Linked DNA regions of Oryctolagus cuniculus. The protein of the gene in region 2 purifies or fractionates together with the protein of the main gene of each other region. This does not show direct contact. Links are inferred from orthologs where the notes say so. Each region holds a gene or a part of one and is shown on either strand. Other genes may lie near its edges.

Region 1 (3,811 bases), on a different chromosome or scaffold from region 2:
TGCCAGCAGCCCATATGGTTTCCAGTTGCACCACTTCAGATCCAGCTCCCTGCTAATGTGCCTGGGAAAGCAGTGGAAGATGGTCCAAGTGCTTGGGCCCCTGCATCCACATGGGAGACCCAGAAGAAAGTCCTGGCTCCTGGCTCCTGGGTTCGGATCAGTTCAGCTCTGGCTGTTGCAGCAATTTGGGGAGTGAACCAATGGATGGAAACTTGCTCTCTCTGTCTCTTCTTCCCCTCTTTCTCTCTGTAACTCAGCCTTTCAAATAAATAAATAAATCTTAAAAAAACAAAAAAAAAAAAAAAACAAAAAAACTGGGGCTGGCTCTGTGGTGCAGTAGGTTAATCCTCTGCCTGCGGTGCCAGCATCCCATATGGGCACCGGTTCTAGTCTCGGCTGCCCCTCTTCCGATCCAGCTCTCTGCTGTGGCCTGGGAAAACAGTAGAAGATAGCCCAAGTCCTTGGGCCTCTGCACCCACATAGGAGACAGGGAAGAAGCACCTGGCTCCTGGCTTCGGATTGGTGCAGCTCTGGCCGTTGCGGCCATCTGGGGAGTGAACCAACGGGAGGAAGACCTTTCTCTCTGTTTCTCTCTCTCACTGTCTGTAACTCTACCTCTCAAATAAATAAATAAAATATTTAAAAAAATCAGATACTTTTGTTCATCAATTCTAACCTTTACAATCTCCACAGTAATCTATTAAACCAGTGGTTCTAAAAATTTTGTGACATGCTACCTGGCTGAAAAACCCTAATACAGATATGTTTAGTTAGTTCTTCTCAAGCTTCATTATTTATCCACATCACACGAATATGTTGTTAAAAATCCAGAATTGCTAAGTGGGCCCTGAAATTCTGATTTCTTAAAATCACCCAAATAATGTGGAAGCTGCAGATTCAAGACCATATTGTAAGAAGCAGGAGCCTTGATCTCTTTTGGGTCACACATGTCACACAGTTGAACTACTTGCCAATTTCCGTTCCATTTTGATGGGAGGGGATATTGAATAACAATCATTTCTCAACATTCAGTTTGTACCTTGTTTGGGTTTGTCTCTCATAGGAGTCATGTAACCTTCTTCATCCAGTTCTCCTCGTGGGCTCCGTTCTGGGGCAAACACAGTGGGGTCAGCACTGTACCTCTGGGTGCTGCTGTCCTCTTGGATATGGGGTGCCACCGGCTTGCGTAGGGTGCCGTTACAACAGGAATCATCAAAAATTTCAGCTGTGGCACCCTGAGCAACTGGAGCTTCTGGGATTGTGCTGGTCGTGGCTCTATAGGGCACAGAAACTCCTTGTTCTGCAGTGAAACCCCCATCTCGGTACACAAACTGGTTCTGGTGATAGCAGAAAGAGATTTGGAGGGAAGTTGTTGTTAGGAAAATTAGTACAGAGTGAATGCTAAGAACAAAAAGGATATCACATCATGCCTTTCAGAGAAGTCATAGTGTGAATTGATGTGGTTTCTTTACCTAGAGGCTAATGATTTGAATTACAGACTGAAAACATCTAGAATTTCATTTTTTTCTTAAAAGGTAAATCATAGAAAAATAATTTGGAAATAGATGTTTTAGTTTTACTAATATCTGATGCAATAAAAATATTTGAGGTCCTTCTCTCACAATTGCCTATTTTTGGTGTAGAATTCAGTGAATTTTCATGGCATACAGTGTGGTCATTAGTTGTATACAATTCCCGTTAAGAATAGAAGTAGACCAATAATATTTAGAATTTCCACATTTTCTTACTGCTTTTTGGTTACTATTACTCTGCAGAGACTTGTCACTGAGAATCTGGCTTTTTAGCACATGACCTATCCTCAAGGAAGTAAAGATAATCTCCTCACTTGGAAGCATAATTTATGAGCCAGGTAAATCCCTCAGATATCAATCAAAAGCTAGTGTTGATACATGATATCTCAATTTTGGATTATCTACAAAGATAAAACACACCTCAACTACTGAATCTGTAGCAAATTCTTAACTCACTGTTGGCAAAGGCAAGATGAAGAAATCATGGGGAGACAGGAGAGAGGAATCATGGTAAGCCAAGACCAAAAAATCCTAAAAGATGAAGGCTGATTGTGAAATACTTACTCCTGACATAGGGGTGTAGGCAGGAGGAGGGCTGTGTCCAATTTCACTCTAATAGGAAAGAAAAATGGAATGATGGATATAATAAGATGCAATATGAATGAAAAAATAAAAAAGACAAGACAAGAAAAATAAAAGGCACATGCATTGTATGAATCAAAGGGGAAAATGTGCACAACAGTGAATTTCCCTAAACAGTAAAAATGTATGCATTCTCACTGCAGGCAAGTTTATTCATATGTTTTGAGGAAATTAACATTTCAATTCAAGCCCTGAAAAGGAAAATTATATAGAAAAATGAAATTTTTTCAATGGATTAAAATTAAGTAGACAGAAATATTCTTATTAACCCTAGAATGAAGGAAAAATCAGTAAATACAGTTGTAAATGAGGGACAGTTTCCTTCTTTATGTGTTGAGTAACAATTTGCCACTTAACACCATATTCACTTTTATAAGAGATATGTCTAGGATATAGATGTAGAGTTCAATTTGTCTATAACAATTTTTGCTATGAAGTTACGGTGATTTTTCCACTGTTTCAGAAAAGGGTCAACTTCTCAGCTGTCCTTATAAAAAGGCATATTCTTTTGTCTTCGGTATGCACTATTTTATTTTCATTCTTCTTTTAAAGTTAAGAAATAGCAGAAAATTTGGAAAATCAATTCTTTTCCAAGAAACACACTCTACATTACAATCAGTCAAACATATGTTTCAGTGGTTGGAAAAAATACATCTATAATTTTATAGCCTAATACTCCATCTTATGGGCTAAATTAAAGAGGGGATAAAGTAAATATGGAGGACAATATTTCTTAGGGCAAGCAAAAGGTATTATATGAATCCCAACCTATTTCTTCAAAAAGTCGTATATATTTTATATATGTACATATGTATTTCACTCATTCATTAAACACATTTCTTGAGAACATACTATCTATGTGTCAGGAAATTTTCCACTTTGGTAGGCTCTGGGAACAATGAATAATATGTACCAAAATGGTTAATTGTATGAAGTTTGCATTCTCTACATTTCAACTTCAAGTGAAGAGATGACTAAAATAAACCTCCAAGGCACCTACATCTTTCACATAACACATAGCTTGATATTCCAGGTGAGGGTTGACATAGGTTAGTGATTCATAAAACAGTCTAAAGCTCATATGGCCCCATGGAGATCATTTAATGGCAATCAATACAATTAGATAATACAATTTCCTTAATTAACTTCGTCTATTGGACTAATCAAGGAACAAGTTCTGAATCTGTGTAATGAATTTACATTTTAATTCTCCCCACAACTAAGATGTCATAGTGAATATTGACCTAGTTCCTTCTCTAGTAACATACTATTACCAGCAACTATACTGAGGATTATGACATGGAAATCTATAAAAAACATTTAATAACTAGTATTGTACAATATGCAGATTATTTTATACATTGTTAGAAGCCTTGGGCTACAGTGCCAGTTGCGAATGGTATGAGAATTTGGTCAAACATGAAACATCTCAGATCCTTCATTTCCATCTTTGGCTTCTCTATTTTTAGTGAAGATGAAGTAAGATGATGCATATAAATGAACTCTGTAAACTCTAAACTATTATATAAATGTAGAGGATATATAAAATTTAAATATTCACATCTACAAATTGAAAATTTAAAGTCAAGCAATCAAGATGCCAAAGCTACTCATCAAAGAGGTGTTTTTAAATGCTT
Region 2 (4,368 bases):
CACAAATATATTTCAAAGGACAACCATTTCATATGTGAAGTGTTGTCACGTACTGTCCAGAAATCACACTGCTCACACCTTAAAATCTAAAGTTAACACCTAATGAATATCATCAAGTCTCCTGAAGCTCAAAATTCCTGGCTAGATATTTACCAATGATCAAACGTGTAAAACAGAAAACACGGCAATTTTAAATGATTTGAAGCCATGTGAAAAGGTACTTCCAGGAACCCTAAAATACAACCAGTGTGTTCTGCGCCAAAGACTGGCAACACAAAGTAGGACTTATGACCACAGAAAAGTGCAAATAAAAAGACACCCCGTCCTCTCCAGGAAGTTACCACTTTGGAACTAAGCGCCTTCCCTACAACGCCACAGACATAGGGCACCGGCTGAACAGGTGAACGCTTAAGAGTTTATTCTGATTCTGTCCACGTGATTCTATGTAGTGGGGAAAAGCAAAATTAAGCTTAATTACGTAAAGGAAAAACTTCAACACCCCAGGCTGCCTGCAATCCAATAACCGCTAAGTTTCATCTCGTAGCCCTCCTACAGCCACTGCCTGGGCGAAAACCCACCTGTGGCCACCAAACTTTCACTGAGTTTCCGGCGCCAAAGTAGCAGATACCAAAGACAAACCTAACTGTCAGTAACCCGCCCTGGGCAGCAACAGAACTCTGCAGCTCTCGCTCCTGAGGCAGGCCGTCACGTGGACCAAGTTAGAGACTAGTGAGAGACACAGGCGCTGCAACGTAAAAGGAACGAACTTTTCTCGCCCTCGCGGCTGCAGCCTGTGTTCTCAAGCCACAGGTGTTGGTTAAAACGTGTCACCGGTTTTCTCTTTTTAAAACAAATGAATGTCACGCCTGAGGTGACTGCTGTACCTCTTCTATAGTCCAGGAAAGAGGTCCAGTCACTCAACCGAAAAGCAAGACTATGCCAGCGAGGCCTTTTCTGGAACTGCTGATAACTGGATCTTCAAGAAGCAGAGGGCAGCCCTCCCATCCTACCACGTTCACAGAAGTCTAAGGTCTTTTTCTCGGACCCAATCTCCAGCAAGAAGCACCCCACCCCCCACTAAATCCTGATAGGCCTAAGTCCTGACAGCACAGGAAAGACCCTACCTCAGGTCAAGCCAACTGCTCTAATCCGCCAGACCCATGGCACTCGCTCCAAAACTAACTTGCACCATTTATGGAGGAGAGACTCTCGGGGGGGCTGGGGGGCACCCCCGCCCCGGGATCACCAAGCCCAACGGAGCCCTGAGGACAGACAAGAAGGGTCTGGAACACAGTTCCCTAAAAATGCCAAGAAGGCGGAAAACGACCCACTCCCAGCGCTCAGGGACCTCTGAGAATCCACAGAGCCCTCCACTGAGGAAGGCTGCCTCCTGCTCCAGCCGGATCCGAGGCCGGCCACTAAGACCGCCCTGGATCAGAAAGGGGCTGCCCAGACGGGAGCCGCAACCTTCATTCATTGCCCACTTGGTCCACAAGACCAAGGAGCTCAAGACACCAGAGATGGCTGACACAGGAGGGCAAACAAGAAACGGACCCGAGACCCCACGCTCACTCCCTCACACCCGGCCCAAACCGCGAACTCGAGCCTCCCAGCTTCTCCCTCGCTGGCCCTGGACCACCCCGGGGACGCGCGCCCGCGCACCTCCACACCCTCACCTGGCGCGCTCGCGCACCCCACACCACCTAGACCCTCAACTGTGTACCCCCGGGACCGCCCACGAGGCACACTCATTCATCTGCAAACCTTCACGACCCACGCCCGTCCGCCGCCGGACTCCCCGAGGCGCACTCTTCGCTCCCCCACACCTCCATGCCAAATCTCCCACACACACAACCCGACCTGCACCCCCTGCCGCCCAGTGTCCCCAAGTGACAGCGTCCCGGGGCGCAGGGAGGGCGGACAGGGTGACACACTCACAGGCTCCGCGTCCAGGCGGGCAGGTCCCCGGGAAGCGCCGCCAGCCCGCGCCCGCCGCAGTCCAGCGAGTCCCCGGCGCAAGTGCAGGCAGCCGCGCAGGGCTCGCGCGGGCCGGCCGCTGCGGTCGCGGGTTCCAGCCGCAGCAGCAGCAGCAGACACAGGAGAAGAAGGCAAGGCGAGCGACGCGGGGCCCCGAGCGCTCCCCGGACCGGCCGCGCCATCTTGTCTGAAGCGCGTTGCGAACTCCGGGCGCGGGGACTACGAGGTCCCGAGCGGGTGCAGGCGCGCACGGCCCCGGTGGGGGCTCCCCTCAGTAGTAGGCTCCGCGTCGGGGCATGGCCGGCCGCACAAGTTCTCTCCGCGGACGCGGCGTCGGCGCTCAGAGGGCCCCCAGTGCCCGGGCCGTTCCGCAGCGCCCGGCGGGGGTCGCGAACCCCGCGCCCATCCGGGCCGACCCGCGTGCGCTCTCCGCAGACCCCACAGGTCCGGGCAAGGGGTGCTCGGCCGCCGCTACTCGTCCTCCTGGCGCGCTCTGGGCCGGCTCCGGAGCCCCCGCGCACGGCCAAGTGCCGCTGCCCCCGCTGCTGGAAGGAAGGCGCTCAGCCTCGCAGCCGGAGCTCGGCGCCGGCGGGCATCTTCTTCGTGGCTCCCGGCACGCAGCTGTAGAACCCGTGCTGGACCGAGCGGCTAACCCTGCGTTCGGAGGACCCCGTGCGCCTTGCTGTCCCAGCAGCGCGAGCGAAGCGCGCGCGCGCGCGCTCTGTTTCGGGCTTCGCACCGCTCCCCGGCGCAGCGAGAGTCGCGCAGACCTCGCGGATGAACAATCAGCCGCTCGCCTCCAGCCTCCCCGCGGCCCAGCCCGGCTAGATCTCCCAGGCCCCGCCTCCGGCCGCTTGCCCTCACACACCCCTCGGCTGCGCGCCCGGCGGCCGCCTGCCGGCCCACGTTGGATGCTTTGCAACAGCGCCTCGCCACGCCCCCTAGCCTCCCGCTCATTGGCTGCCGGAGTCCACGGCGGTCATCCTCAGAGGCCATTGGAGCGCTCACCAAGATCCCGCCCCTCCCGCGTTGCCGGCCACCCCGCCCCCACTCTCTTTTCCCACCCAAGGTGTGAAGGGTGGGGGCCTGGGAGGGGAAAGAGAGGGGCGTCCCCTGACTCTTAAAGGCGACGTAGCGGTTGTAGGTGAGAATGGGGAGGCGCGCTGAGAAGAGGAGGCGACGTCAAGATAACACTCCCGGTCGGAGAGAAAGTTGGTTAAGAGGGTGACACCCTGCTTTGGAGCTGTCTGCCCCAGAGGTTTCTGCCCTCCTCCTCAAAGCTGCAAACTGGAACTCGGGATTCAGAGCAAACCGGCACCCATTGGTCAGGTGCCTTTTCAGGAACAAAGAGAGATTTAAAATTTCACACATTTCCTCCAGATTGGAACATCCTAGTTATTTCATTTGGGGTGGCCCCCTTGCTCCTTGCACAGCGTGGAGTTCCTTCCTGCCCCTGATTGCTTCTTGATGTATAACATCCAGCAACATCCAGCAGTATGTCCTTGCGTGCCAAAATGTACTGCAGAAACCAAGTGTCGCAGGTGCACTGCCCCCCTGCTCCTTGCCTAGTTAAGTTGAAAGATACTTCTGGAAATGTTCCAGCTTTCGATAAAGGACTTGTTTATCATTGTTGTCGGTTTGTCTTTTTTAAAATCAGAGCCCAAACCCAGTTTATATGGAGCCACACAGTACTCCTGAGAGATTTAAAAGGAGAAATGTTACAAAACTTCCAACTGTGGCTCTTACAGGTCAGAAGACAGTAGCCATGTGTGATGACGGTGCACAGAAACAGTAAGGCAAATGCAGAGAGAAAGAGAGAGAGAGAGAGAGAGAGAGAGAGAGAGAGAGGAAAAGATTAGCACTGTAATATATAGCTGCCCCCCTGGGCATTTTGGTTTGCCGGTGTCTCATATCCCTTCCCAAGAATGTGCAAGTTTGTAACATAACTGCACATGTTGTCAGGAAAATTAAGCAATGCAAGTGTGCTGAACAAATCTTTGCTCCACCAGGTTAAATCTGACTTGTGTTTTATGGAAATGAAAAGATCTTCCCTAGGAAGAAAAAGCAAAGCAAAGCAATAAGTTATAAAAATAAAAGGCTATTTTTAAAAGTAATAGAATTGTTTTCATTGTTGACATATCTATAGAGTTTGCCTCCACTGAGATGTACTAAATGTGCTAAACTTTGCCTCAGCCACGAGGTCACCTCTTTTCTTTAACCAAAGCTGGGTTTGGGCTTGGTAGTCCGGTGATTACTAATTGCCTTTCTTCTGTCTCTCCCTCCTTGTTTTCTCCTTTTCTTGCTTCTGATTCGTCATGCTATCAGAAAATACTGCCTTATTTTCTTTGTCTTTTTTTTTTGCACAATTTCAGCACTGATGCCCAAGGCAGT

What was found.
Region 1: the proteins of LRIG1 (region 2) and ERBB4 purify together in Homo sapiens (affinity purification with western blotting; 3 studies listed by BioGRID and IntAct, with this or other methods). This does not show direct contact. The link is inferred for Oryctolagus cuniculus from reciprocal best matches to the Homo sapiens genes LRIG1 and ERBB4.

What each region holds. Positions count from the first base shown.
Region 1 is NC_091434.1:28,232,694-28,236,504, reverse strand, and holds part of ERBB4 (receptor tyrosine-protein kinase erbB-4), read right to left. Parts: intron 2,145-3,811; coding exon 2,097-2,144; intron 1,338-2,096; coding exon 1,040-1,337; intron 1-1,039. UniProt on the Homo sapiens protein: Tyrosine-protein kinase that plays an essential role as cell surface receptor for neuregulins and EGF family members and regulates development of the heart, the central nervous system and the mammary gland, gene transcription, cell proliferation, differentiation, migration and apoptosis.
Region 2 is NC_091441.1:83,064,382-83,068,749, reverse strand, and holds the start of LRIG1 (leucine-rich repeats and immunoglobulin-like domains protein 1), read right to left. Parts: upstream 2,804-4,368; 5' UTR 2,160-2,803; coding exon 1,939-2,159; intron 653-1,938; exon of another isoform or gene 579-652; intron 1-578. UniProt on the Homo sapiens protein: Acts as a feedback negative regulator of signaling by receptor tyrosine kinases, through a mechanism that involves enhancement of receptor ubiquitination and accelerated intracellular degradation.